Regions from separate parts of the Mus musculus genome. Here all the other regions are reported to be linked to region 2. Evidence: microRNA targets listed by miRTarBase, many of them from high-throughput screens and not tested one by one. Region 2 holds a microRNA gene; each other region holds the end of a gene's coding sequence.
Evidence for each region. The annotated mature microRNA mmu-let-7b-5p reads UGAGGUAGUAGGUUGUGUGGUU and lies in region 2 at 2,006-2,027, opposite strand. An mRNA with a match to its seed (bases 2 to 7 or 8) in the 3' UTR can be bound and repressed. Matches are read on the target gene's strand: a 7mer-m8 pairs with bases 2 to 8, a 7mer-A1 pairs with bases 2 to 7 and ends in A, and an 8mer does both.

Region 1 (4,392 bases), not on the chromosome of region 2:
CATGTCCCTCTTGGGACAGGAAGGAAGGAAGGAAGGCAGGCAGGCCGGCCGGCTGGCCGGCCCTTTTAGCTGTGAGGGGTGGCCTTGAGTTTAGAATGCCGTGGGCCTCCCTCCCAGTCCGTTGCTGGAAGCAAGCTCCACGAGGCTGACTAGGCTTTCCTTGTTTAGGACAGGCGTCCGAGTCTGGCTTCCTCGCCAGCCTCAGAGTGGACAAGGAAGGTGTGAGGGAGAGGTTTCAGCACTCACTCCTCTTTCTGCTTGGCCCCATGCTGCCTTTCTCCACCCACCCTGCAGACCTCCGCCCAGGTGACTCAGGGTAGAGTTCTTCACCCTGAGCCTGTGTGTACAGCGGGCTTGCCCTTCCCTTTTGCAAAAGGTTTTTCAGAGGGAGGACAGTGTGTCCTGGGTCAGCCACTCTCAGGCAGTGCCCAAGTCTTCTAAGTTCTTGTCCTGTCAGAAGGATCTGGAACGAGAAGAGTGTCAGTGTGCATTCATGTTCTTGCTCTAACTGTGGACCGTGGGATAATGAGTAGAAAATACACAACAGGATGTAGGCCTAGTAAAACCTGATTGTTGGCTCAGTGGGGCGGGTAAAGGTGCTTGTTGCCAAGCCTGACAGCCTGTGCTTGATCCCTTGAACCCACATGGTGGGAAGAGAGAGCTAACTCCTTAAGGTTGTCCTCTGACCTCCACACGCATGTCATGGTACATGTGCCCTCACCCTTTACATACGCAGAAATAAATGTAAACATTGCAGTCTTTGGGGATATATAAAATTGTCCAAACAAGCAAACCAGACTTCAGGTGAGCAAGAGTGTGCTTTCCACCCACCCTGACCCAGGTGGCTGGCCTCTCGTGGCTCCATCCTTAGACAAGCCCTGCCCACACCTCTAACAATGCCTCTATCGGTTCTCAGAGCTGCCGTCCTCATCAAGCGTTTCCTGCCTGGCCTGGTTTTTGCTTAGTGAGAGTGGATCTTTCCACACATTGGGTGTAGGCTTCACACTAGAGTGAAGGCATGCAAGCCTTATAAGGACATGCCTCTTTAATAAAGGTAGGGGTGACAGATTCCAGACAAACACTTGTCACCTCCCCTATTGATAACAGACGTAGGCGCCACTAGATAGAGGTGACCTGGCAGGATGAGGATTAGCAGAGTAGGACTCAGTAGCTGACCTTGTATGCGTGTTCTCGTTCCAGTGCCTCATGGCGTGGGAGTCCATTATTCCACTACTGCAAGAGAAGCAAGAGACTAAGTAGGTTTTGGAACAGAGACTCTTCTGCCTCCACAGGGCATGGAACCCTGAACCAGAATGTCCCTGCAGTGCCGGAGAGGTCGCCGTGGGAAAACAGCACAACAGCACCTCTTGTGTGTGTACTTTCTACCCCCGCCCCCAGTTGTTTTCAGTTAGTATTTATTCCTTGGAGTCTATGAGACTGTAATCATCTCTCAGCAGCATACCTCCGTATTGTGAAGGAACCTCTTAAATGGAACACTAAAAGACTTGAAACTGAGGGGCAAGATAACCCCCACATGACACGTGACATCACTTTGGGGACAGCCCAGTTGCCATTGTGGGACAGAACCCCAGTCCTGCGTTTCAGGGACATGGGGAGACATGAAGAAGGCAGCTGCAGCTTGCTGTGGAGACCCCGTGGCTCTGCACTTTACCCGTGAGGGCATTAACCTGACCCAGCATGGAAGGAGGTGTGGGTACCTTCTCAGAAAGTCCTTAATTTACAGTGGCCTGTAGCCTGTGGCCGTGGCCGTGGCTGTGGCCTGCTGCCTGCTCATGATGAGTGGCCTCTGTTGACTTGTTTCTGGTTCACGTGGGGCCACCTGAATCCGTGTCTGTGAGCATTGACGCTTGAGTGAGCACGCCAGCGTCCTTGTCCTTATGGGATGCCTCAGGATCTTGTTTCTGACACCAGAATGCAACAGATGAGAAGCTTTTTGGTGTGAACTGGAAAAAAAAAAAAGGTGCATTTTTCTCCGTGAAGGTCTTAGTGTATGTGTTTTGCTTGTTAACTGTCATCGTGGTTGGGATTAGACCTGTTTGGAAACAGCTGCTGTCAGTGATGCTCCGGTGTGCCAAGCCCCAGCTCCGATGTCTGCTTTGTGCAATTTGCCTTTACCTCACCAAAAATGTCTAGTTTAATCTTCCTGCCGTGCCCGCTGACTGTCTGGGCAGCCTTGCAGTGGGGGCTGATGTGCTGTCTTATTTTTGCTGTCACAATTTGTAAACTCAGTGTGACTTCTATATGAGTGTTTTAACCCTCAGCATTCTGTGGTCAGGAAGATAAAAGCATCTGCAGGTCCCTCCAAGACGAGAAGAGCAACATCATGCTCTTTGCTTCTGTCTATGTGGAAATCTCCGTTTGCAGCCAAAATCTGGGGGCTGCCACTGTACTTAACATCTTCATTTGAAGCCTTTCAGATTTCCATAAAGCCAGCAATCAGAAAGGATCTCTCTTCCATACCACTGTTCTTGCTAAAAGGAAGCTGCATATTTGTGTTCTTTCATCTGTGGCTCTTTGCTAAAAATCCGTAGATCTGAGCTGCAGGTAAACGGAAGGGGCGTCGTTGTCTTTAAGGTGAGGCGGCCAAGCACTGCTCCGTATATAAGTTAATTTGTAAATCCGGAGCAGACGGCATGCTAAGTCCTGTAATTCCCTCTAACATTGAGTCAGATACATCATGGGACATCATGGGATGGCAGCTAGATAGCATGAAACAATTTATCTTCTCATATTTGACAAATTTGTGATAGAAATAATAATTCCCACATCTACCGGTACTTGCCTAAACCCTGACTGTGCCATCCCAAAGGCCTTGATGTGAATTTTCTTTGGTACAAATAGGAATGGCCCACTGAGGCAGAGGAGTAAGAGTGGTCCATACACCCAAATGCCAGCAAATTGGCATCTCATTCTACCTCTAAACCACTGGGTTGGTATGGGTATGAATGCTCAGAGCTCACCCGAGCATGCTGGTAGAGTCAGGGTGTGTATTTAGTCACCAACCGGCCTCCATTGTGTGTATCAGCAAACACCAGACTCGCTCAGAGGTGATGTCCATCTTTGAGAAACATGAAGCTTTGCTTTGTGGATTGTATGCCTGATATGATGAATAGTCATGTGATGATACATGGGAAGAACTATAGAAAGAATTATCCAGAAGCTAAGATTTGATGGCCAGCTGGTTGCCAAAACCTCAAGTCAATCCTGTGTGCTGGTTAGTTATGCAAGAAGAAAGCCCCGTAGAAACAGCCTCCAGCTGCACTGGGAGACGTAGGGAGGGAAGCAGGGTCCACAGCCATTCCCTCATGAGAGGTGGCTCTCATGGCATCTTGCAATGTTTGTCTTGTTTTGTTCATTTGGCCAGTAAGGAATGTCCCTGGGCTTTGAGTTTCCAGAAAGAGATGGAATAATGGAGACTTTCTTTCCCTGGGGACCAGTGTCAGTGGCAGAGCCAGGGACACCCATGCACAAGGAGGCATGCTTGCCCTTCTCCTTGGGATGGCAGCTGGTGAGCTGAGGAGGCTGGCCTAGAGGAAAAAAGGCAGCAGACAGTGAAGAGGCCTTCCTCCCTCCCTGCTCCACAGGCCCCCTCAGTCCCTGGGAAAGTATGCACAAAAGAGACTCCCTACATAGCTCAGAGACTACAGTGCCAAAATGCCCCAGAGAGGCTCCATTACTTCTGGAGCCTACAAAGCTGTTCCCTGATGTCACAGGTCCCTCCGACTCATTTTCCAGGAGACTTTGCCTTGAGGGTGCCACAGGTGGAGAGATAAAGATAGCTTTTGAAGCTTGAACACATGCCAGTGAGATGAAAGTTGGCCTTAGCAACTGCCCAGGTCCTGAGAAATGGAGGGCTTGTTCATGGGGTTAGAAACCTGCAAAGGCAGCCGGGCGTGGTGGCGCATGCCTTTAATCCCAGCACTCGGGAGGCAGAGGCAAGCGGATTTCTGAGTTTGAGGCCAACCTGGTCTACAAAGTGAGTTCCAGGACAGCCAGGGCTACACAGAGAAACTTCGTCTCGCAAAACCAAAACCAAAACCACCACCAACAACAAAAAACAAAAGTCCAAAAAACCAAAAAACCTACAAAGGCAAAAGAGGTTTGAGAGCCGTGGTTGTTTAGGACAGTTGTGGTTTGTAGCAGGAAAGGACACTCCTGATGTTGGGAATTTGCAAGAAGAATCTGGGCTGAGCTGCTTCAAACAAGGAGGCTTTGCTCTGGAGTGAGGAGGGAGTGACCCCTCAGCCTGTGTAGGGTCCAGTTTTATGCTCTCGGAAGGCTCAGCAGTGATTGCTGCCGAGTGGGAAGTAGCTTCTCCCAGCTGTTCCTCACCTCACCAGATATTTTCCCAAAGCCGAAACAAGAAAAGTC
Region 2 (4,392 bases):
ACTCCCCTGCACCCCAGAACTTCCACTCTGCTGAATGCTGTGTCGTACCCACCCTGATCCCCACATGCACCCCTATCTCTAGTGACAGTCAGTTGTCAGAGAAGAGCCAACAGAATGTAGAGAGGGGCACAGGACATGTCAGAGGTCATCTTCCAGGAAGCTACCCTGACTGCAGAGCACCTCAGAGCTCTCGGATGCTCCCACGCTACCCCACTGGGTGGTCGCCGTGTGTCCTGTCCTGTGTCCCTAGTACTTGAACTCTGCAGAGCAGAGGCCATCTCCCACTGCAGCATAGGAGCCAGGAGGTGGGTGTGACTGGCCAGCATGTCATTCTGCTTGCACAGACACAGCTGGCTGTGGTAGCCAGAGGGTGGGCCTGTGTGAGGGTGAAGGGTTGGGGGCTGGGCTGTGCAGAAGAGTATGGAAGGTAGGCTGTGTGATGGTTTGTATATGCTTGGTCCAGGGAGTGGCACTATTAGGAGGTGTGGCCTTGTTAGGGGAAGTATGTCATTGTGGATATGGGTTTTAAGACCCTCACTCTAGCTCCCTGGAAGCCAGTCTTCTCCTGTTTGCCTTCGGAACAAGATGTAGAACTCTCAGCTCTTCCTATGTCATGGTATTCTTCTGCCATGATGATAATGGACTGAGCCTCTGAACCTGTAAGCCAGCCCCAATTAAATGTTGTCCTTATAGGAGTTGCCTTGGTCATGGCATCTGCTCACAGCAGTAAAACCTTAACTAATTCAGCAAGGGATGAAGAGTGGGCAAAGCTCTGCACAAGGGAGGGGAGGAAGGACTACTCCTCTAGGGCTGGAGGCATAGCAAGAGTCAACAGACTTCACCACTGACTACAGGATAAAGAGAGGTAAAAAGGTGACAATTTATCATCCACCATCGATGTTCCAAAGGACAGCAGGGAGGAGACAATGGGGCATGCCACGGAGTGTCTGAGTGTCCACTCCTGTGTCTCTAGCTGCCAACTCCTATACAGCCATCAAGACCCAGCTCAGATAGCCCCTACTTTGGGAAGCCATCCCTGTTGCTCTCAGAGAGTACTCAGAGAGTCCCTCTGGGTACTCTCAACCCTGGGGCTAGCACAGTATCAGATCTTTGGAAATGGCTGGCTAAGTTTGAGAGGTCTGGTAGCTGAGGGTGGATATAGAGGGGCTCTAGGGGTGTTTGGTCTGCCTAGGTGCGTCAATGGAGGTGTGTGGATATGCAGAGTTGAGGCAGATTGGGTTCAGGACGGGAGCTGGGACTCGGGGGATTCATTATGGGGAGAAGGCCAGGACATCAGGGTCAAGGTATCCACCCACGAGGGAGGCCTTTGGTGTCTGGTCAGGTAAGACTAGGACTTTACCTTCCTAAGCTAACACTAGCTGAGGGCTGACCCTCACCCCACTACCACCACCTGAATGAAGGCTTGGGGTCCCTGGAAGAAGGGTATATGACCATTTGGCCCAAGATTAGAAAGCTACATCCACAGCCGTCCCAATACTGTCCCAAGGGAGGCAGGCACGAAGGGACAATAGGCCAGGAATTTCTCAGATCTGGTTAGGACCACAGGCTGAGGGACACTGGAAGCCAGTACTGTGCTCTGAGACTTGGAGTCATAGGGTCTGTTGTTCCACTCATGTGGAGGGGCTTGGGTGTCCAGGGCTTGGGCCACTAAGGGGCACATGGAAGATGAGGGGAGGGTACTGTTCACTACCCAGAGCAGCTCTTGCTGGCAATGTTTCATGCATGCAAACGTGTCAATGTGTGGTTGGCGATCTCATGTCCTCTACGGCCAGTCTCCGTATTTCCAAAATGACCAAAGACCAGTTGTAAGTTCATGACAGAACATCCTTTATTTATACCCAGGTCCCACGTCATAGCCCCCACCCAATCTGTGGCTCCATTTAGCTTGCTGAGCGGGGGCCTCCATGTAGCTGTGTCCCTGGGCGCCTCAGGGAAGGCAGTAGGTTGTATAGTTATCTTCGGAGGGGCAACATCACTGCCCTGAAACCACACAACCTACTACCTCACCCTGCGGTGTCCGTGTTCTGGAGGAGGCCCAGCCGCTCCCCACCCACCCTGGCCACAGGCCACTAGAGCCATAGGGCACAGGGCGGGGTGGGGGAGGGGGAAGTGGAGACAGAGGTTCAGTGAGAAAGGCCTGTGCCTACCAAACAGATTGAGGAAGCCTCTGGTGTCTGAACCCATTGCCCCAGGGACAGGGGACAGTGGCCTACACGGTCCATCTGCAGGCTGTACTCATGGGTGTGCTAAGAATGGCTCCTTTTCAATTTCTTCTCGGAAGAGACGCTTGCTCGTCAGAGGCCTGACCCTGCGCTGGAAAGCCTGGGCAACTCTGGAACATAGTTGAAGGTCTAGTCCAGACCCTCTTTTCATGGAGACCTGTGAGCACAGGTCTGATATGGGGCCAGGGGCAGGAAGGCCCCTTCAGTGTGGGCCAGGGAGAGAAGGTGCCCTGAAAATGCTGTCTGTTTTCATCGCTATGCCCCAACCCTTATACAGATGAGTAACAGCCCAGAGAGGTCAAGGGACTATCCAAGGTCTCTGTCAGGCTCTTTTTGCATGGTAGTTATCACCCCCCTGTCCCTCCCTCAGTCTCCCCAGCCAGGGCCGCCGTTGTATCCACTGCAGATATTGCGGCCACTTCAGGAAAGACAGTAGATTGTATAGTTACCGCAGAGCGGGGCAGAGCCCAAAACCATACAACCTACTACCTCACCCCAAAGGCCGTCAGTCAGTCTTGGCGTAGAGCTGGATGTTGTGGCTTCTTGAGGTCCCTCCTAGAGGAAGAAGGAGAGCTGGGGACATGGTGAGCCCCACCCCCCACCCCCGACACAGGCCGCTCAGTGCTGAGGGTATTAATAGACTGGGATTTTCTCAAAATGGGCCAGGGACATTTAAACAAAATCACAGAGAGAGTAAGGGGAGACGGGGAGACGGGGAAACGGGGAGAAGAGAGAGAAAGCACGGGGCACTGAGCACAGGAATGGCCACAATGGGGGAAGGGTGTCATTTGTTAAAGGCCACCAAGGTCCAGGGTGCTTCCAGTGTCCACCTGGCTGAGACCCAGCCTCTGTCCACTCAACTCTAGCGTAGTAGAATCACCAGGACTCCTGCTAAGTAGTAGCCTTGGGCATGTACCCTCTTCCCCTTAGGCAGGAAGAGCCCCCCCCTCGTGGGCTCTGGTTCTGTCCCTCCCTCTTCTCAGGGTGGCCTGAGCTGACCTTGCTGGGGGAGGCTCAAAACAGTCTTTCCTTGTGGGAGGCAGCCTAACTCCCCATGGTGGCCAGCCGGGCGCAAGTGCAGACCCTGGCTGGACACTCATGGCCAGTCTGTCCCTAACGACTAGCACTTCCAGAGGCCAGCAGAGATCGCTGAAGAAACTGAGGCTCAGTCTCTGGTCTCAGGTAGCTCTGCTCTCAGAAGGGAAAAAGACCTGCTTCTTTCAGGCCTCAGACCGGTTTGCCCAGCATGTGGAGGGAAGCCCTGTGCCCAGACCTAGGAAGCCAGGCAGCTTTTGCTCTCTGCATGAGCCCTAGCGTCTACTGTCACGCCTCCTTTCCTCTCTGCCAAGGGTCAAGGGACAAGTCCAAAACTCCTGGGTCAAAATGAAGCCGTTAGGTCTAAGTCCACATTGTGGCCCCAGATCCGGAGTCTATGGGGCAGAGGAGCTTAGGAACAAGGTTCCCAGAGCGCTGGTGTGGCCTGGCCCGTGGTGGGCAGGCCTGTGATGATAGGAAACACTAATCTTCCAAGCCCCAGAAGGAAATCTGAGCCACTGGGGTGCCATCCCCTGCCTCAAGCCTGGACCCTTTCACTAACAGGCAGGTCAAATACCCTCAAGGATGGTCCCTGCAGAGGCAGCAAGGCAGAAGAGGCGTGGGAAGAGAGTGGTGAAGGGCCCCTTTGGTGATCCTATCTATGATGGGTGGCCCAGGTGAGAAGGCTGAGGGGTGTCCCACACTGCTTAGCCTCTCTGTAGGCTTGACTGGCCATGGTTAATCTCGTCGGTTCTTAGGCTGTGCCCGGATGTGGTGGAATAGCTAGAGACCACATTGGTCATCTCCATCTGAGCCCAGCACCTCCCTCCCCCTCTCCGCCCCCAGAAGCACTTTGAAGGAGGAAAGAGGTCAGACATCAACCCCAGGTCTCTCAACACTTCGGGTTCTGCCCTTGGCTGTCAGGATACAAGTACGTGGGCAGGTCTGGCTGGAAGGTCGAGACTGGCCCCTCTGACTCTGGGCACCATCATGCATTTCCGTGGGGTCCTTTTGGCTGGCCCCTGGGGATTCTCAGCCACTCTACTTAGCAGCAGGAGGCCGGTGTATGCCACTGTGTCAGCCCCAAAGCGCCTTTTCTGCACTTGGTGAGCCT
Region 3 (4,392 bases), not on the chromosome of region 2:
GGCTGTTCCATAATTCCATGTGCTGTTGCAGGGTCCTGCAAGTACCCAGCTCTGCTTGCTGAAACTGGAAGTTATTTATTTTTTAATGGCCCTTGAGAGTCATGAACACATCAGCTAGCAACAGAAGTAACAAGAGTGATTCTTGCTGCTATTACCGCTTTAAAAAAAAAAAATCAAGACTTGGAACGCCCTTTTACTAAACTTGACAGAAGTTCAGTAAATTCTTACCGCCAAACTGACGGATTATTATTTATAAATCAAGTTTGATGAGGCGATCACTGTCTACAGTGGTTCAACTTTTAAGTTAAGGGAAAACTTTTACTTTGTAGATAATATAAAATAAAAACTAAAAAAAAAAATTAAAAAATAAAAAAAGTTTTAAAAACTGATACCCAGTTAGTGTGTGTTTATGTTGACTCCTGCTGCTGTGGGAGGTAGACCCCAGGGAAGACAGGCTGGTTGTGCTGCTCCAATCTCTGAGGAGGTGCTGACCAAATGACTTTTCTTCTTCACCTTTAGTTCTGGCTCAAGGTATCTAGAAAAAGTCAAGACTGTGATTCCCTCTCGGGTGGATTAGCAGTTGGCTTCAGCAGAAGGCAGGCTGGCCAGAGGTGGGCAGCGTTCAAAAGTCCACATCTGCAAGCAGGTGCAGACTGTAAGCTCACTTTTCCTTGTTGATCTGAGTTATCCCAGTTCAGTTCTGTGTTACCAGTAGGGGGCAGAAGCTCCTTCTTTACAGAGGAATCTGACCAGGCTCAAGGTGTGGCCACAGTGGCTAAGCACTTGTCTAGTAGCACAGAGCCTTGTCCCTCCTCAGTGTAGCCAGGGATTGGGGAGGGGGGGGCAGCACAGAATGAGGCCAGGCTGCCCGAAAGGGAGGCAGGCAAGTGGGATGGGTGTGTGGATGCAGAGATCATGGTTGTAATACTGGAAACCTTTTTAATTGACATACAGCAATTTGTACATTGTAGCAAAATTTGCATTATTCAAGAATAAGTTACTCATACAGTACATAAAACGAAGATTTGCCAAATACCTTCTGCTGTAATGATAGAAGATGAGATTCCCTGTTTCTGTGGTGACAATGCTGCTTATTCCGGCCACACACTGGCCATTAGATGTGTCTTCACTAGGAGGCAGTGGGTGACAGTTTATCACTTGGTGTTTGCACCAAGGTAATATTAAACAAGAGACTGAGCCCTCAGGGAAGGGGTGAAGCCTTACTTTAAGAAACTTAGGTAAAGATAGTGTTGTGTGGCCCGAGATTGTAATGATCCCTATTCCTTTCTCCTACACCATCCAGAAATGATCAGAGGCAGAAGATTTATACAGATAAAGCCATATGGATTGCTGGTAAAGTCAAGGCAGGTTAGTTGACCCAACTCTTTGGTGCTGGTGACTTTTAGTTTGTAGTTGAGTACTCAGGAGAAGGAAGCAAGGGTACGGGGACTGTCGAGCCAGTGGTGGCCAGTAAAGACTGCTGGGGTGGGAACGGTGCCTGGTGCCAACACACTGGGAGGGCATCTGGCCTGGAGCTTCGCAAACCTGCCCGTCCCCTTCAGCCAACTGGACCTACTCTAGCAGAAAGGAAAGGTGTTGGCTTAGTGTTGTCACTCTGTCCCACAGTCACGAGAATACCTTTTTGCCTTATGTTTTCTGTTATCTTAGACACTTCTTGAAAGGAAGCTGTCCACAGTGGGGGTGGAGGTGCTGGTTTACAGCGTCGGGCAAGTCTCTCTTCTGAAGGCCCAGGGGAAACAAGTGCCCCAAGTTTGAAGTTAGTTTAGCTTCTGCCAGGTGAAGGGATACAGCTGTGCACCCATCCTATGTAGATTAGAGGCGAATCTGGACCACTGGTTGGATATTGCTTATATCTTTGGTTCATACCTTCTATGCAGTGAAGGAAAGCAAGTTACCTTAAAGATGGAACACGAATCTGCACCTGTGTTGGACCCACCTCGGTCCGTGAACACAATGGGGAGTGTTCAAGAGGAGGTGCAGCTGCTTCCCTCCCCAAAGCCCACACCCCTGCAGAGTACAGAGTAACCAGAGGAGGAGGTCAGTACTGCTGGCTTCAGCAGGGCAGCGGAATGTTTGCCCTGGAACATGTCTAGGAGTTAAGTTGTGGTTCTCTAAAGCCACTGCTGCTGCAAGCACTACCCACTCCCTGTGATCCTGTCCCTTAGGAACAATCACAGTATTGGCACTGTCTGGATGGAGAGATTGTATGGATGGGGACCCTGCTGCCACCTGGGACAGAGCTTCTACACAACACAGTGCCAGCTCCTTTTTTGGCTCACAGAGGAGCCAACCTCAGGGGTAGAGGGTATAAAGATGACCTCAAGCCCTTCGCCCACCTGTACCTCCCAGCCTCTGTAAAGCTGCTGTAACCCAGAGTCCTTTTTGTTAATGCATAAGGCACTGGAGTGGAATGTCCCTTGCCACCCTCCTCTCTGCAAGCTGCCTGGTTTTCCCTGAAAGGGTGACACACTTCATTCTCTACATTAGGGAGGACAGTGGCTACCCCACAGCAGGCAACTGTCCTGAGGGAGCAGACAAGGACACTAGCATGCTAGCTTGGCTCAGGGTAAGCGAACCAGGGGTGCTTCGCTGCCCCCGACTTCAGAGTGACAGGGGGGTCCTAGTAGGGCAGTGCAGTGAATAAGCTTTAATATTAAATGGAAACCTGAATCCTTTAAAACAAAACAAAAAAAAGTACTCTGAGGTAAAATGTTTAAATCAATTTTGATCTTTAAGCTTGTCCCTCTGGCAGAGCTTCTGTCGTAAAGCTAAGAGTAGGAGCAGGATCATGAAGCATCCATCGCCTGTGGCATGGAACCCATGAGGACTTGCCACAGATCTGAAGCTACAGGGAAGGACACCATGTGAGAATCCAGGGACTGTTAGTGTTTTGTGCTTCCCGATGACCCTGCCTGGTAAGAAGTCTGTCATCAGCTCTGTCAGTTTCCACTGCCAGCTCTGGGCCTGTAGCCCCACCTCCTTTTGGGTTGGGGACTAGGCCTAGGGTACCAGCTAGTGGCACCTGTGCACAAGAACTACATCTGTAAACAGTGGGAGAAAGCCGGGGGCTAGCTCTGGCTGACAGGAAGCCTGTGACAGCCTTGTGTGTGTTGGAAGCGGGGCACATCTGAGCTGGGGAAGGCTGACAGCAGCCTATAGTTCTCTGGAGGGGAGGAAAATGGTTCCATTCACACGTCTGCCTCTCTGCACAGCTGTGAGAGAGGGGTGTACTGGTTGTCAATGGCCCGAAGGTGGCCCCGTGAAGAGGAGTCCATGTCATAGTCCGAGTCCCGGGCACTGCTCACAGACTCGAGCTCCAGCTGCCGCAGACTGTTGGCCAGTTCCTCAGGAGAAGGCACCAGGTGGAAGATCTGCTCAGGTGGTGTCACTTGGCCAGGGAGAGCCTCTGCACCATGGCTGGGGGGACAGCCAACAGAGCTGAGGTGGGGATGACCCAGCTCCGAATCCCAGTGAGGAAGGGAAAAAGGGAAGAGGACGGTGTTGGAGGAACCTGGAGAGATGGCATGGATGTGGATGAGTCTTAAAACCGAAAAAAGCGCACCAGAAAAGCAGCTTTGGGCATGTGTGTACTTGCGGTGACACCACCCTTGACAACAACTTTGTGGTTCCTACCTGGTGCCTGAGAGAGGACTACCACATAGCCAGAGAGTCGGACGTCACAAGCTGCTCCACATTCCAGTGGGATAGGAGAACGCTGGAAGTGGCGGAGCATATCTACCACCGAGGGGAAGTGCAGGTGTTGCACCCGGCACTGTCCACGCTCTGTGAGCACCAGGCGTAAGTGCTATGGAAAGGGGTAAAGATCAGCCTGCTGCCCAGGCTGCATTTGCCCCACCCTGGTCCACCAGTTCCTGCCCCTACCTTGGCTCTGCCCTGTAAGTTGAATGTGAGTACATACTCTCCTCTCCGGGACTCACTCTGCCGCACCAGGAACACGCCGTGGGCATCAGGGCCCTGGAGCTGGACCAGCTGTGCAGCCCTCACCCTGGAGATGGGGCCGTGGAACCAGGGGTAGCAGGATAGGAAGTGATCTGTTTTCTGGCAGGCTGGGTCCAGCAACACCCCAGGTGAAGCACCTGGCGGAAAGATGGTGGTGGTGACCCGCAGGGGGGCCACATGTCCAAGGACACCCAGAGACCAAGGACCTGGCACATACCTTGGTCCAGGGAGTCAGTGCTTCCCCTTGGGGATCTAGCTGGGCCAGGCTCTGCCGCTAAGGAAAGAGGTAACTCGGTGTCCGGGTGCTCCAGCCTGTAGGGGAAGAGCTGGGTAAGAAGGGAACCAGCAGGGATTATCAAAGGGAACCAAGGATGAGTGGGCAGGGACAATCCTCACCCAAGGCCTGTGCTT
Region 4 (4,392 bases), not on the chromosome of region 2:
ACCCCAGTATTCTTAAATATATGTCAATATATGTGAATATTATTAAATATATGTGAGTATATTTGAGATCTGGACATTTGACGCCATATAAAATTAGTTTAGACTCAGGGTCTCTTGTATCTCCTGCTGGCTCCGGAACTCCTAAGCAGCTAAGGAATGACCTTGAACTGCAGAACTTTCTGCCTCCACAATGGGAGTTACAGAAATGTTCCATCACGCCTGTTTTTATATGGTGCGGTGGATAAGCCGGCCATTTGTGCACCATAGCCACACACTGCCAACTGAGTTAGATTCCCAGCTGTGATGGCATCTAAAATTTATGCTACATATGAAACTTCTGACAAGTGACTCCCACAATTATTTTGGGAACAGTACATATTAACCTGGAGACTACTAACCATGTGGTAAATGGCAAGAGAAGGGAAGAGGGTCTGACAATAATCTGAACCCTTTATTGAATGTCATTGCAATGGTTCTTTTCATTTCAAAATTTTGCTTATGTATCATTACATATCTACTTAGTACCCTTCGGATCCGGCCTAGAACAAATGAGAACGTTGACACCAGTCTGTGAAAGTAAGTTTTGGCCTTGATAAATTGACAGCGTTAATTAGGTAAATAAGTGCCTATTTTATTAATGACAGAAAAACAAAAACAAAAAAACGGATTTGGCCTAAATGAAGTAGAAATCTCGGCGAGTTTTAGAACATTTTGATAACTGTTGAGTGTTTTATTCAACAGTTCTAGGCCCTATGGTGTCGAAAATTAGATGCAGTGTTTGCCTGTGCTTCTTGCTTTCTTAATTATGAGTATCCTTATTAACCAGAAATATTTGGAGTTTTTAAGCTTTGCATTCTTTAAATTGCCAATTGGTTCACCTCATGTTTATCCTCTGATCAGCGTGCAGAAATAGAACAAAGGTCCCTGCACAAAGTGAAAGAAACTTATGTACCCATAGGTAGTGTAGACTGGACCAGGCTGTTTAAAAATTGGATTGAGAAACACTATAAACTACTGTTGGGAAGTAAAGGAACAGTTCGTCTAGAAAATAGGTAATTAAAAAACTTTCGCTGGTCGTGGTAGTGCACGCCTTTAATCCCAGCACCCGGGAGGCAGAGGTAGGTGGATTTCTGAGTTCGAGGCCAGCCTGGTCTACAAATTGAGTTCCAGGACAGCCAGGGCTACACAGAGAAATCTGTCTCAAAAACAAACAAACAAACAAAAAAAAAAAAAACCAAAAAACAACAAAAACAAAACCAACCAACCAACCAACTCAAATCTAAAAACCTGTCAAGGTTGGGTGGTGCACACCTTTAATTTCCAATACTCAGGAGGCAGAGGCAGGCAGACTTCCGAGTTTGAGGCCAGCCTGGTCTACAGAGCCAGTTCCAGGAATCCTGGAAGATGTTGGCTGTGGCCAAAATACTACTTGGATTCAAGAGTAATTTTTTTTTTTTTTTTTTTTTTTAGGAGCAAGTCAGGTAAAATTGGCTGAGAATATAGTTCAGTGATAGAGTGCTTGCCAAGTCTGCAGAAAGCCCCAAACAAGACAGCAAATGCAAGTAGTCAGAGTTAAGATAGGCAAACTGTAGAGATGACGATTGGAAGCAGCAGCTCACGTTACATCTCATGACAGAGACCTGGGAATGGGGAAGGCCAGTTGTCAATGCTTTGAAATGGAGTCCTTGGCTCATTTAAGTATGGACGCAAGCTCTTTGGTTCTTCCCACTGTTTTAACCTATAGAAAATGGAACCAGTGGCTGAGTTTATTTTTGGCCAAGACTTCCAGAGACTGGAAGCATGTTTCCTGCTTCTGGGAACACTTGCCCTTGGCTTCTAATTGCCACACTTTAAAGAAGCCCTTGGATAGACAGTGAGTGGGCCAGGCATCCAAGCAGAACCTCTATCTCCAGCTAATGCACGCCAATGACTATAGAATAGGAAATCCTAACCAAATGAAGTGTACGTGAGCAAAGTTGTGGCTTTTACTAGGATCATTTGCTAAGAAATGATGACATATGGTTTAAGTATCTTTCCACATAGCTTTTAATCTCTAAGTCTGAAATCCATGAAACAGAAATCTACAACAGGTCTTCCAACTGCTTAGTTCTTTGTAGTCTATTTTAACTTGTCCAAATGATTTCATCTCTCCAGTTCCTGTATATTATTTTACTAAAAGCAACAACCCCCCATAGGAGTCAAGCATCTGTGTGACATAGGAAGTAAGAAATAATGGCTAACAACACAAGAACAGATCATAATAGATTTCTGTACTCAAGGAATAAATACAACACTGACTAAGATGCACATCATAGCTCAGTAAGACTCTTAGGACTAACACCCTTTTATACTGTCCATTTTAATAGGAGGCCTGTCTGTGTTAAATCTTGGCTAGATTTAGTGAAATATCAAACCTGCACTCTTATCTTAGGCTTAGGATCTGACTCCTGACTCTAAGTGGTCTTTTAGATAATTAGTATTTTTCATACCCGCATGTCTAATTGGACTTTTGGGACAGGCCCAACTCCATAATAGATGAGGCTAAGGTCAAGAACACACTGGACTGTCTTTCTTCCCAGGTCCTCACAGAAATCTTAGGTGTTGGTCTGAATATCCCACATTTCGGGCAATTTGTCTTCAAAATATAAGTATATAGCTCAAAATTAAGTTGTAACTTATCTTTTTCTTTTTTAAATAAAAGACAAAATGAAGGTAAAGAGTATTTAATTAGGAATAAACACAAATATTATGAACCATTTATTAGAAAGTTCTATTTTGTCTTCAGAAATTACATCAGAAACTTACATCTGTATATACAGAACTCAAAGTTAATTTGTACTTGAGTTTAAAAAGATAAATTAGAGGTATAGAATATTTAGCATAGTCAGAAATACTTAAACAAATACATCAAACCATTTATTAAACAAGGTTTCATGTAAGCCTCCTGTCAGGAGTGAAGAACAAGAATGGATGCTGTTCTGAGGTGGGGTGTTGCTCAGTGTGATCTCAAATTCTGGGCTCAAATGATCCTCCCACTTCCCCTTCTAAAGTGCTGAGGCTATACTGTGTGTCACAACTGACTCAGTTAATTTTAACACAGTCATCAAGGAGGGAATGTATACGAATTCCACAGAAATAGTCATCAGAATGATACATTATCATCCAGGTTTGAATATTTTTCTACTATGAAATATCTTCTTTGTCAGTGAATGCTTTTCTGGGTTAATTTCTTTCAAGGGCTGGTGAGCAGTCTGCACATTCAATTCCAAAACCAAAGCTGACAATGGTTAATTTGCTTTCACCTTCCTTTTGGCTTCTTTATGTTTCTTCCGACATTCCTAAAAAACCATAAAATAAGAAGCTTTTATCAACAATAAACACAAATTTCGCACAGTCAACAAAGTATACTTAAAGTCGTAGAAACCCATTCTACAAACACTTCTGGGATGCACCGACTATAGTCAGACCTTGGCTACCTTGTGGGTTCTTTTCCTCTTCCACCCTTCTCCCTTTCACCCAGCCTCCTCTTCCACCCTTTCGACCCCCTAACACTACATAGGAGAGAAAAAAGGATAGAAGGGGAGATGGTTGATGTTACGGTTAGACTACTTCCTGCTGATTGGGGAGTCAAGTTCCTTGAGGCAACTTTGAACTTTGCTATCAGGATATCTAATTTTTTCTGGTTTCTTCACTGTGCACTGAATACTTAACCACAGCTATCAGCAACCAATAGCCACAAACCACTAACCTACCCTCTCTCTTGGGGCCCTAGCATATATACTCTCTGAAGAGTCCCCAGAATTCCAATTGTCACACAATCACAGAAACCACACTTGCTCCCTGCTTGAGCACTAGGTAAATCATAGCTGCTCTGGAAAGCCTGAAGTAGCACTTTATTCCCATACTTGAGATTAAAATTAAAAGATTCCCATAATATTTCTGTGTTTTTCAAAGAGACCAAAATTCTCACTACAGAGTCTATTCAGTTTTTGGTTTTATATGGTTAGGGAACTGTAACTTAGGCTTTGAAAAACCTCATTACCTGTTTCTTAGTAGACTGGCTAGACACAGACCAGTCACTCAAATGAGCCAGTCTTTAGTGCCTTGACATATACTTGTGTAACGTACCCCATATCGGTATACTGTCATGTCCTGTTGGGAGTTCACTGAAAAACTGGCCCTGGAAGCAGAGACTCTCCTACTACTCTCACTGTGCACCTAAATATGTTTTTATTAAGTATCCTCTAAGAACCCTTGTCTGGGGCTGGACTGACTCACGGACTGTGTGGCAGGGAGGAAGGAATATCAAGACAGCTCAAGAGTAAAACTGTGCCCTTGAGAACAGCGAGAAAGTGAGCCATTTCCAGCAGATGTTACTATGTTTATTCTAGG
Region 5 (4,392 bases), not on the chromosome of region 2:
TGATTTTTTTTCATGTAGTCCTGGAACTTGCTTTTTAGACCAAGCTGCCTTGAACCTGTCCTCTCCCTCCTGAGTGCTGGGATTAAAGGTGTGCACCATCACACCTGGCTCCTATTAGTTCTGCTGTTAGTGTTTTTTTGAGCCATCAAGTAATGTTTGAACACTGACACTGGCAGAATTGGTGTAACTTACAATTGAGATTACTGGTAGTTTAGGCTTCTTGCATGGCTGTACTTGGCAAAGGCATAGTTAGGGTAAGATTCTTATCATACTACATGAATAGTGCACCATTTTAAAGAATTGTTTTCTCTGGCTGAAGAGCCTTTGAGTGAAAAGCCATGGGTTGTTGGGAAGCCATAATTTCTCACTTAAAGAAGGGTGGAATTGGCTACACAGAGAAACCCTGTTTCGAAAAAACAAAACAAAAGAAGAAGGGTGGAATCATGATCCATATGGTTTCTGGGAATTGAACTCAGGATATTTGGATGAGAAACTACTTAGCTGTCTCCCTAGGAATAGGTGTTTTAAGGAAGTAACTGTTCTTTAACTATACCACACCCAAAGTTTCATGATTCTTTTCAAAGGAACAATGAACTTCCAATTCTACTTAAGCTGAATTTAGGGTTATGCTATGAGGGAATTGGTGAGTCCCTGGGACCAGGCACAGGCTTGGTGAGAAAGAAGTGCCTCTAGCCCCTGTGCCTAGTCTTGAAGCAGGGACAAGATCTGTTGGTGAGAAACTGAGACCTATGTCAGACGCTGTTGACTGACAGCAGTTTGCAATAATTTCCCTGCCATCTAACAGCTGTTGCTTTGCCTTTTCCTGAGGACTAGCAACAGACTCCTTGGAGAAGTGCCACTTTCACCCTTAACAGCACGATTTTAGTTATAAATGGTAGGGCCAGTGAGGACAAAAGGGTTTTTTGTTTGTCAGAAAGAACAACCCACAGTTCAACAAAAGCAAGTTTGGTTTATTTGAATGGTTTCATTAAATAAGTCTACAAAGGTAACAAACTGAAGCACAAAGCGCAATCTTACAGAAGCGCAGCCCCCGGAGTTAGTGCAAATGTACAGGTAACGGCTGCTGAGAAACCCCAAGGTTTGAATTCAGTTTTAAACAGTGTACATTGTTAAATAACGTAAGGAAAACATTTATAATTCGGAAAGTTCTTTTTAAATGTGGAAAGATACTCAAAGTGTACTATTAACACAAAAATAATTTAAACAGTTCAGTAGCACTAGCTCGTTTCTCTAGGCTTCAGTTATTTCATCCACAGGAGGGGGAAACCAACAGTAAGTAAACCTCTGTGAAGGGGGAACAGACCTCACTCAGAATGACTAAACCAAACACCACATGCTGCATTTGGCTCCCTCTACTGCTGGTATGAAGCACTCAGTCATCCTGTAACCTGCTTCACTCCCACAGTACCTCTTACCGCTCCCAAAAGGAATAAATGAGTCAACACTTTGGTAGCACGACCTGAAACAAAAGCCCTGCTCATTACACTTCCCTCTCCTGAAACTTTCAGCTCTCACTTGTATCTTTGGGCCTCGACCAACTTAAAAAGAACAAGACTCTTACAGGAAGAAGCCTTGCTAGTGTGGCAACTCCTGGGATGTGTCATAAAGTTGGAAATGTGTCAGTTCCCAACTCAAGGTGAAGGAGGAAGCACCCAAGAAATGAGTTCTACTTTTTCCACTTTTCCAGAATATTCAGATCCCAAACAGCCAATTAGGTCCCTATTGCCAGAAAATCAGATAATACTGGTTGGTTGCTGTTATTTGGGGATATGGGTATGAAAATGTGAGAGTATTAGCTCTAATATAGAAGTACAGGCAGCACAATAGATTCTGACTGTGCAACCATTTGGACAGCTAGGAAAGGAAATAAGCACTTTTTCCTACAATGCTTAGAAAGTTAGAAGTGGGTTGAATTCCCACAATACAGTACTTAAAGCAGAGAAAGTGTGGTGGTACTTGTGCAACAAGAGGTGGGGGCAACCGAGCAGGTTTCCTTAGAGCAACATTTTCCATCTGTGACTTGGCACTGTCATCCTTCCCAACTTAAAATCTAGCCCACTCCCCTCTTTTTGTTTAATCTCTTCTAGATCTCGTTTGTTCACTGGCCAAGCATCACTTCAAACAAGCTTGTCCCCACATCTTCAGTCCTTATCTTTCACACACAGCTCACAACCCTCCTCATTCTTTCTGAAACAGAACTTTGTTTTCAACCACTGATGCCAACTTCACTGTGCTCACCTTACACCTGCTCTAGGCAAAATTGAAACGACTGAGAAAACAAAACAAAACAAAACAAAATAATAAACCAAACCAAAACCAAAAACACTTTCATTTTCCCTTTGGCATATCCACTGCTGGGGTCATGTGGACCTAAGATTTCTTTCCACATACCCTTTGGTGACCTGGGGTCTGGTAAGTTGATGCTAACAGCAGAAGCAATAGAAGTCCAAGGCACTAAAATATCCAGCAAGCAATACTGGGAGAACAGAAGTATTCAAGTACAGTAATTTATACAATTTTACATTCACATTTATTTATCTAATACAATGGAAATACAAAGGAAAAAGTTAAAGTGTCTTAATAAGTAAAGGACAGAGCTAGCTTTTGTGTGTGTGTGAACCTTTTAAACCTTTCAAATTTTTCTCTTAAAACTAATGTTGTCCAACAACATTTATATATCACAGTGTTTCCACATCAAAACTGATGGCAAAGTTACATGTCCGCAGGGAACGTTATTGTTTTCCCTAATTGCTAATGCTGCAGTCAAAGCTGCTAATATCTTTTGCTTAAAGCATTAATGACCTATGTAAGAAAGGGTTGCAACCCCAGTCCCCTGGTATTTTTCACTAGGTTGTAAAAGGGGGGGAAAAAGTGGGGGTAGGGATCAGAGTGGGAGAGAACCTTTGTCTTAAGGTGTGCATTGTTGAGGGAATAAGGAATTTGGGACACATGTCAAAATTAAAGAGCTCTGCCCACTTACAGATACAGATCGGGTTTGGCTTACATTGAGCTCTTGGGGCTTTCTGGTAACAAGGTTCTCTTCTAGTTCTAGGCCTTACTGAGGGGTACAAAAACAGAAAAGCAGTCTCAAGCAGCCCCTCCACCAGAAAGCTGTTCATTCCTTCTTTTTTAACTCCAACAAACGGAGAAGGAGGGTGGTTCTCCATTCTGAGGGCTCAAAATGGTATTAAAAACATTCCCTTCTGGCAAGAAATAACCAGTTAAATGCAGCACTAGTAGTTAGTATATAGGCTACTTCCCCACCCCCCCACCCCCCCAGCATTCCATTTCCTGCCCCCAAATCTACTCAGTTAACATCCTTGCTGCTGACTAGGTGGTCCGTAGATTGGAACCTGGGGGGTTGCTGATGGACTTCTGCAAATTGCTGATGTTGAAATTTTGCAAGGATGCTGTTCCTACAGGTTGGAACTGGCCAAGTGGCTGCGGTGCTGGACCACCTGTTCCACTCCACTGAGTGCCAAATGGGGCAGGTGGAAAACCATACTGCTGTGGGGGACACATGGATTTGGTGAAGTGACCTAGAGAGGTAGCAGATGCTGCAGAGATGGGGGTAGAGCCACCCAGGTTTGAGGTCATGGGAACACACAGCTGCCCAGGAGCAGAGAACTTCCTTGCCATTCCAGGGCCCTAAAAACAAGAAAGTAGCAATGAGAATTTGATGAAAAATGGGTGATACTATAATGCTGTTGTAGAGCTGAGATGTTCTAATCTTAGCATTATCAAAATATAACGAAGCCGCCCATATTTATTGGCTTTACCCTTAACAAGGAGGAGTGAAAAGTAGGATCTGAGATGTGTTTTATGTGCACATGCAGGTAGTGCAGGATGTTGAAGAAAAAGGGTACCAAAATGATTGCTGCCTTGTTTTCTCAATAATAGAATCCACAGGCTACTGAAGATGGTAGTGGTAAGGATGGCATACCAGCCTTGGCTGTCCATGACATGTCTGTGTATAGTCTGGCAGGTTAGGAAAAGGGAAGACTCACCTCATAATTCATGTGTCCTTTGCTGCCTCTCCTGCCTGAAAGATTCATGGCATCTCGGGCCCAGTTGTCTACTAACTTGTGCAGGTCATCTGTGAATGTGCCCTTCCTACTGGAAGTCATAGCAGGAGGCTGAGCCTGGGCAGCCTGGCTACTCACTGTTCCTCCAACGGTATTTGTGCTGCTGGTCCCTAGAATTATAAGTAACACAATATTAGCATTAAAGTAGGGTTCTGGGATATAACTTTGGGGAAAGGGGAAAATGTCATAGGGTAATGATTGGCAAGCCACGGAATGGGGAGAATATTTGGGAAGCCATGCAGGAGAGGAAGATTTTGAAGTATTACTTATCCATTTGCTTTTGCAC
Region 6 (4,392 bases), not on the chromosome of region 2:
ATAATACACTAGGTTTAGTGGCATATGCTTTTAATCCCATCGCCACAGAGAGAGAGGCAGGCAGATTTCTATGAGTTCAAGGCCAGCCTGGTCTACATAGAAAGACCTTGTCTCAATAAATTAATAAAATGATGAATAAAACAGCCATAGGCTATTACAGATAACATTTATTGGTATGAAAACAACTTCAGTGATTTATTTAATGAATTACTAGAGGGAGGAACTGGAAATACAGCTCAGTGGTAGAACACCTGCCTAGGATGTGTGAGACCCTGCATTTAATACCCAGAACCACAAAACTACCCCAAGAGTGACACAGGTTACAAAAACTGATTGAAGAAGAGATTAGAGCAGGAACTGTCGTGGGAGTGGTTCCTCCCTTAAATGACTGTGGTCCTTGTGATGTTGTTCCTCAGCATCACAGTGAGTCAGAAGTACCCAGCCCAGCCACTCTTAACATTTTTGATCCCAAAAGCTGTTTAGGGGTGATTTGTGACCATATATTAGATAACAAAGACCCCCACCTACAGGTCTGCTGGATCTCAGGACAGCCTCCAGGCAATGAACAGGCTTTGTCTTTGCTGAGGAAAAGGACTAGCCGTGCCAGCCAGGCCTGGTGGCGCACTCCTTTAATCCCAGCACTCGGAAGGCAGAGGCAGGAGGATTTCTGAGTTCGAGGCCAGCCTGGTCTACAAAGTGAGTTCCAGGACAGCCAGCTACACAGAGAAACCCTGTCTTGAAAAAACCAAAAAAAAAAAAGAACTAGCCGTGCCTGCAGACCTAGCACCACAGAGGCCAAGACCAACTCCCTGGGCCAGTTGTATGGTCAGTTCCAAGCCTGCCTCAGCTGTATAGTGAGATACAGTCAGCAAACAAATACAAACGAAAAAAACCCAAAATAACTCACACAGAGACCGTAAATATACCTTTAGCGTTTTGTTTGTTTATTTTTTGAGACAGGGTTTCTCTGTATAGCCCTGGCTGTCCTAGAACTCACTCTGTAGACCAGGCTAACCATAAACAAAGATCCACCAGCCTCTGCCTCCCAAGTGCTGGGATTAAAGGTGTGCACCACCATGCCTGGCTTAAATAAACCTTTGTAATGATGCACATTTCTCTGTCATCAGGAAAATCAAAGAGCAAAAACTGAGCAGCCAGTCCTGCTGAAGTGAGTCTTCTCTGGAGCAACAGAGGAGCAGCTGGCACCCCAAATGCTTCCCATCCTTGCAGGCGTTTCCCATCCTTCAGATGCACTTGATGACAACTCTTCCAAAGCACCCAGGACTGTCACATTTCCTCAGAGGTCTCCCAGGAGGAGTGCTTGGACTTTGGGTGGTAACCAAGCTGGATGGGTGGCCTGCAGGCCTGTCCCATGCTGCTCTTACCATCCTGACCTTAGACAGCTGTGGAGAACTGTGTCTGGATGATATACCTCTGCCCTGCTCTGCTCTCCAGGCCTCAGCACCATCTGCTTTCAGAGCACACTGCCTTGCTCAGAGCTTTCCAGTGGGCGTGATCCCGTGTGCGCTCCATGAAGTTCAGCAAAATGCAGTCACCCCAAGCCAGGATATGTGCAGGAACTTCTTGCCACCCTCTGAAGACAGTGCAAGTCACAGCAGGGTTTGTTTTGCTTTGTGGCATCTTTTAGGGGCAGGTGTGAGGCCTGCCTGCTCTTTAGTCTCTTGCTGCTTGCTAAGGCTCACCCAGCTCTGACTGTGGCAGAGCGGAACAGGCTAAAGGCTTCGCTCTACCTCCCTGGCAGACTTGGCACCCTGCGTTCTTTCCCAACTTAAACCTGTGTCCACAGTTCTTGGGAGCCAGCCCAGATGTCAGGAGGAGGTGACACCATGTAGGCATGCTCTAGTGGCAGCGGCACCACTGAGGGTTGCTCACCTGGTGTCGCATGATGCACCAGGTCAGTTAGATGGCATCAAAGCCACCTCCTGTAGAAGAGTTTAGCAGGACTCAGGAGCCATGCCAGCAGTGGCACTCTAATGTCCCCAGGAACGGCAGAATTTCCTGCGTGCTGCACCCTGGCCAGAGCTGTCCTCATCATGTCATAGAGCTGCATGCTCCTCTCCCTTAGCAAACAAGCCGTGGAACAGCCACCCCTGTGGGATAGTAATGGCCTGGTGCCTGCCGCTGTCTTCTGCTCATCTGATTCCCTCAATAAACCCTGTGTAGTCTCATGGTACAGAGCTGCTGTGTGTCAGTAATAGTCTGCGCTGCCACAAACCACATACCGCCTGCCAAGTGCTGGGGACATTGTGGATTTGGTTGGTAACTCATGGGCAATGGTGTTTGCTTGGCCTAGATCAAGACTTGGAGGGGACCTGCTGAGGAGCTATCCCCAGCCCTGGGGAAGGCTTGAAGAGTGGGCCATGTACTACCTCTCAGCTTGAGTTCTTCTGAGCTCATGAGAATGAGTTATAGTGAGCCACAAATGGAAGCAGTGCCCCAAGTGAGCCACAAATGGAAGCGGTACCCCAAGTGAGAGCCACAGATGAAAGTGGTATCCCAAGCAAAGGCCAGGTTTGCCTCTTGAGACGCTGGGCACCTCCTGGGCAGGCAACTCCCCACTTTTCATCTTCGTCATTAACTGGCTCTGATTACCAGCCATCCTGGGCCTCCACCTGAGATTTGTCTCCAGTCAAAAAAAGACAGTCTGAAGGCTGGGGAAACGGCCCACTTAGTAAAGTGCTTACTACATAGCTATAAGGACCTGAGTCAGATTCCCAGCACCTCTGGGGCACATGTCTGTAATCTCAGCACCAGGTAGAGAGAAAGGATTTCAAGTAAAAACTCGATGGTGGGGTTTGATTTGGGTTTATGAAACATGGTTTCTCTGTGTAGTCCTCCTTCTAGGTAGCTGTCCTGAAACTTACTCTGTAGACCAACCTGGCCTAAAACTGAAATCCACCTACCTCTGCCTCCTGAGAGCTGGCGTTAAGGATGTGCCACCACTGCCCAGCAACTGTGGGATTTAATATACATTTCCATCCCTCTACTTCCATCTCACCTGGAGACCAACTACTCACCTTGCAACGGGAGGCTTCCACACCCACTTCTCCTCAGGCCCCTCCTCAGCCCGCCAGTGCAGACTCCACAGTTCCTGCCATGGGGTCCTCTCCCTGGCTGTGTGTGTCAGGTGTGATTACCTCACTTAAGGACCAGACACCAGAGATGTACTTAAGGATGTCTCCAGGGCCCACTTGGTCTTTAGGCCTTCCTCCACTTGCCTCAGCCTACAGCCTCTTGCTCGGGAAGATATCCAGTACTCCAGGGAGACCAATCTTGTTCTTATTCTGCAGGACTGTAATAGACTCAGTGTGACCTTCCTGACCATGGCAGAGGCCCCTGCCAAACAGGAGGGTATTAGAGGCTTGGCACGCTTTCCTGCAGCCCTAGACACTTGTGCCCTGTCCACGCTGGTCTCACTCCACACTGCCCCCAAGCCCACCAGCCTGTCCTGTCCAACACACACTACTGCTTTGAACAATTTACCAAGATCAGCTGCCAAACACTCCCTGTTATTAGCTCATGCCTTTGGTGAACCAGGTCTCTGGGAGGTCTGAACAGTGTCCTTTGCCTGGAGGCACACACAGCTTCAATCAAAGTGGCAGCCCCTAACTAAGGCTGGTAGCTCATCCTCTCCTGTGCAGCTATGGGCAGAAATCTAGACTCCAGACAGTTCACTGGCCAAATCAGGCCCTCTAGGTTCATCACCAGCATCTTTTTTGTTTGTTTTTTGTTTTTGTTTTTGTTTTTGTTTTTTTTGTTTTTGAGAATCAAGGTCTCAAATTCTATGTGCCTATAGTCCCAGTACTCAGGGAATCAAGGTATGAGGATCTCAGATGAGGCCCGATGGGGCTACCTAACAATTTGCACGCCTGCCTGAGCTACATAGCAGACCCCACTGAGAGTTAAGGCCAGGCAGTGCTTTGTTATCCAGGCTGACCTTGAGTCCTAGACCCAAGTCATTCTGCTGCCTCAACCTGCCACATTTAGCTTAGACCACAGGCATGCACCAGTGTTCCTGTCCCCATCTCTTACTTAACTCAGAGACAGTTTAATTAATTAGAGACTATAATTAATCTGCATCAATCCCTCCACCATCTCCACACAGTGTGACATAGTCAGAGAAGAGTGTTGGTGCATGCAGGGTTACGTCTACACTCCAGAGAACTGGCTGGTGAGCCTGTGCATCAGCAGGGGCAGGAATCACTTTCAGATTCGACTTGCCATGGCCTAACTAACCTGCCATTACTAATTCACCCTCCCTGACCCAGGGAAGCTCAGCAAAAAAATAATGAGGTGATCCTGGGTGATCTCAGGAGTCCAGGTCACAGTGGACACAGGGGGCCTGCAGCAGTGTCCTGACCCAGAAAGTTC
Region 7 (3,000 bases), not on the chromosome of region 2:
AGAACTAAATTTCTTCTATGGTCTCATTAATCAATCCATCATTAAAGAAGCAAACATGATGTAGTAGTCATGTCAGCATCATTCTGGCCTTTAAATAATTGTACTTCAGTCTCACATAAAATACATCTCTTAAAATTAAAGAGAAAGACAGAATTTTAAACATCCAAGTTGTATGGTGTATCACTTCTCAGAATATTGTCCAATATACCAAGATTCGGTCAAATGCTTTCTCTACTTGCTAATTATTTTGTTAGATGCCCAGAACTAACATCCTTCTTCCCACATTCACAGGAACATATCTAACAAATGAAGCTAAAGGAGCCGAAGATGCACCAGATGCCGACACAGCCATTATCAATGCTGAAGGCAGCCAAGTCAATGCCGAAGAGAAAAAAGAGTATTTCATTTAAAATTCAGGCTTCAAGTTCTGAGTTTTACCTACCAGGCTGACTGCTGGAGAAAACTGGCAATCATCTTTCAGAAATCATTCCAACCATCTTCTTCTACTACTTTTATTAACACCCATACTGTACTGCTCTCAGTAGCCAGTGTATACCAACAATCAGCAGTTGAAAGCATCATTCTTTAATTACTGTACCATCCATAATGCAGGACATTTCTTATTGCCTAAATTTTACACCATTGCTCTTTTAACATACAGTGCTTGAATATACAGCCTTAACAATGTTAATCATCTCACTGGATCATGGTATTGAGTTGTTTTTATACATTGAAGAAATGTATGCAGAGCCCCGCCCCTACATTTGTTTTTCTTGAAGTCATAGACTTTATTGGTTTGCCATTGGACAGTTATCACAAGTCACAGGATTAGGTGATGACCTAATGTGTTTAAGCTTAATCGAAGATTAGTGGTTTACAAACAATGTTTTCTACCTGTCTATCTTCAAAGATAACATGTTGTGGAAACATACGCCCTAGAAAACACAAACTGAAAAAACATTGTAGTGTAGTTTCTGGAATGTTTGAGATTATACTGGTAATACTGTATCAAGTGGCTATTTTAAAATTTAGTGTTTGATACAGGCGCCATGTGTATGGATTATACTCATGACATGACACCTTATATTATTATATAGATCCTACCATTAGGTTATTGTAGCTTCATTTACCAATAAATTATTACAAACATTTAACTGCTTTGGGAATCATAAAGATTTCATTCATTTCTCTATTTGATTCTATAATTTATTTGTTCCATAAGGATTCACCTGCCTAAACAAAACTGAAGTAGGGCACAATTTTGAGACATTTTAGTATCTGTATATAGTGCATATAATAAATCCAATTAAACATTATTTGATACATATTTAACTTTTTTGGCTGTAGGTTATTCAGTCATAAGTACGCATTTTCTAACGTCCATTATATCCCTTTAGATATTACATAAACTGATATTATAAGTAGATAACATGGATTAGTATTTTTGTCTGTATGTCCCAGCACTGTCAACAACAAAATTTTTCTAGTTCTTGTTAATTTTTATTTGTTATACAATGGAAGCACAATGTTACAAGGAAAGGTAATTTTAAGCTAACAACCAGTGCACAGCCTCAGGTTTTAAATCACAACCACAGTTGAATAATAACCTAAAAACAAACTCTTAGTTTGATTTAATTTAAAAAAACAACTTTACATAATTTAATTTGGCAGTTTCAGGGCTGCTTAACTATGTTGATTTGCCAAAAAGGGAGTGTTTATGATATTTTCTGCATAAATGAGCTAATTCTTTATATTAAACTCCTGTCTATGCATTCTGTGAGGTACAAACTTATGAAACAGAGAGTGATAGAGAACCCGTGCCGTGCTCTTAACTCCAAGGTGAAAGTCTCTTTCTCTGGATTACTTTAAATTTTGGTATATTGAAATATTATAAAATTCTGTAATCTTAAATATGTCACAAAGCCAATACAAATCTTCTATCTATGGGTGAAATAAAATATTGGTAGAATAGTTTTCATTACACTTATTGGAAGCTAAAGAATAAAGATCCAGTTAGATGAAAAAATTATTTTCCCATTTGCAAGCATTGCACCATTAAGAAGAAAACAAAAATTACAATATGGTAGCTGTACTTGTGATGACTAACAGCATGGCGGAATTTTAAAAATACCTTGGAACTTATTTGCGGGGAAGAAGGATGATTGAATACAACATCCTATGCTAATAACAACACGAGGACAAGGGTGCTGTATATTAGATTATTTATCAGAAAAGTATCAAACATTTAAGGACAATGTTAGAATTTTAATTTTTTTTTAAATTGTGTAGCATTTATCTTGTTGATTTCTTACAAAAGAAAAAGGACGATGTCAGTCAAGCAGCACTTTTTTCAAGATATACAGAACATAAATAATATGATGTGGTTGAGTGTTAACATAATAAATCATATACAGTATGACATTTTAAGGAAATAAGTCTGCATTGATGTGATTGCATGCTTGTTTTTACAGTTCACTCCATACCATCTGTGGAAAAAAATGCAATAATATGTTAATATAGTATGGTAGTTCGAGAGAATCAGGTAGGTGCCTCTAGACACATTGAAACTAGAATAGGTCTATAAACTGCTCATATCTTTCAATGCATAATCTTTAGAAAGACTCCACACAGCAAAAATTCATCCTGTTAGTACAAAACGGAAAGGTTCTTATTGCTAAGTATGTTGTATAACTGTATCATCAGTTACTATTTAAAGCCTAATTTCAGGATACATTTACAAAATTGCTACTCTTCATCGATGTTGTATTTATAACCTTCATCTATATTCTACTTGGCTCCAACTGCTAAAATTGTTGCCTAAATAACAGAAACATTATTTATAACACTATAAAATTAGAAACCCCAAATTGTTTGCATTTCAAGACTTTTGACTCTTTTGACCCTTCTGAGAAATACACCAACCCATTAGAACTTGTAAAATAAAATCACTGGCAGATAAAAAATTAGTGGGCTCTAATCAAATGATTTTCAGTCAAACGT

Region 1: the mRNA of Snx30 is a reported target of mmu-let-7b-5p. Seed matches in the 3' UTR shown: 7mer-A1 at 2,134-2,140 and 7mer-m8 at 2,933-2,939.
Region 3: miRTarBase lists Sh2b3 as a target of mmu-let-7b-5p. Seed matches in the 3' UTR shown: 7mer-A1 at 2,722-2,728.
Region 4: miRTarBase lists Nol8 as a target of mmu-let-7b-5p. The part of its 3' UTR that is shown has no 7-base or 8-base seed match.
Region 5: miRTarBase lists Wnk1 as a target of mmu-let-7b-5p. The part of its 3' UTR that is shown has no 7-base or 8-base seed match.
Region 6: the mRNA of Flywch1 is a reported target of mmu-let-7b-5p. Seed matches in the 3' UTR shown: 7mer-m8 at 1,748-1,754.
Region 7: the mRNA of Cadm2 is a reported target of mmu-let-7b-5p. The part of its 3' UTR that is shown has no 7-base or 8-base seed match.

What each region holds. Positions count from the first base shown.
Region 1 is chr4:59,897,708-59,902,099 of GRCm38, forward strand. Snx30 (sorting nexin family member 30) reads left to right here. Exons shown (of 9, transcript NM_172468.2): 9 at 1,201-4,392. The coding sequence ends at 1,260. Among named protein-coding and RNA genes, the nearest start is that of Slc46a2, 15 kb to the right of the region's middle.
Region 2 is chr15:85,704,960-85,709,351 of GRCm38, reverse strand. It overlaps Mirlet7b (microRNA let7b), which reads right to left and starts at 2,033; the gene lies at 1,949-2,033. It overlaps Lncppara (long noncoding RNA near Ppara), which reads right to left. Exons shown (of 2, transcript NR_110483.1): 2 at 1,828-2,798. It overlaps Mirlet7c-2 (microRNA let7c-2), which reads right to left and starts at 2,749; the gene lies at 2,655-2,749. It overlaps Gm34622 (a long non-coding RNA gene), which reads left to right. Exons shown (of 3, transcript XR_384306.3): 3 at 1-481.
Region 3 is chr5:121,814,562-121,818,953 of GRCm38, forward strand. Sh2b3 (SH2B adaptor protein 3) reads right to left here. Exons shown (of 8, transcript NM_008507.4): 4 at 4,378-4,392; 5 at 4,199-4,293; 6 at 3,904-4,118; 7 at 3,655-3,826; 8 at 920-3,532. The coding sequence ends at 3,210. Atxn2 (ataxin 2) reads left to right here. Exons shown (of 25, transcript NM_009125.2): 25 at 1-389. Among named protein-coding and RNA genes, the nearest start is that of Mir7031, 2.5 kb to the right of the region's middle.
Region 4 is chr13:49,677,332-49,681,723 of GRCm38, reverse strand. Nol8 (nucleolar protein 8) reads right to left here. Exons shown (of 17, transcript NM_001271397.1): 17 at 2,708-3,338. The coding sequence ends at 3,288. Among named protein-coding and RNA genes, the nearest start is that of Iars, 2.6 kb to the left of the region's middle.
Region 5 is chr6:119,923,019-119,927,410 of GRCm38, forward strand. It overlaps Wnk1 (WNK lysine deficient protein kinase 1), which reads right to left. Exons shown (of 28, transcript NM_001199084.1): 27 at 4,029-4,216; 28 at 951-3,669. The coding sequence ends at 3,352. Among named protein-coding and RNA genes, the nearest start is that of Rad52, 23 kb to the left of the region's middle.
Region 6 is chr17:23,750,599-23,754,990 of GRCm38, reverse strand. Flywch1 (FLYWCH-type zinc finger 1) reads left to right here. Exons shown (of 8, transcript NM_001357994.1): 8 at 1,128-2,196. The coding sequence ends at 1,150. 9530082P21Rik (RIKEN cDNA 9530082P21 gene) reads right to left here. Exons shown (of 3, transcript NR_015472.2): 3 at 926-3,313. Among named protein-coding and RNA genes, the nearest start is that of 9530082P21Rik, 3.6 kb to the right of the region's middle.
Region 7 is chr16:66,660,503-66,663,502 of GRCm38, reverse strand. It overlaps Cadm2 (cell adhesion molecule 2), which reads left to right. Exons shown (of 10, transcript NM_178721.4): 10 at 292-3,000. The coding sequence ends at 410. All of the region lies in intron 2 of 1700010K23Rik (RIKEN cDNA 1700010K23 gene), which reads right to left. Among named protein-coding and RNA genes, the nearest start is that of 1700010K23Rik, 4.9 kb to the right of the region's middle.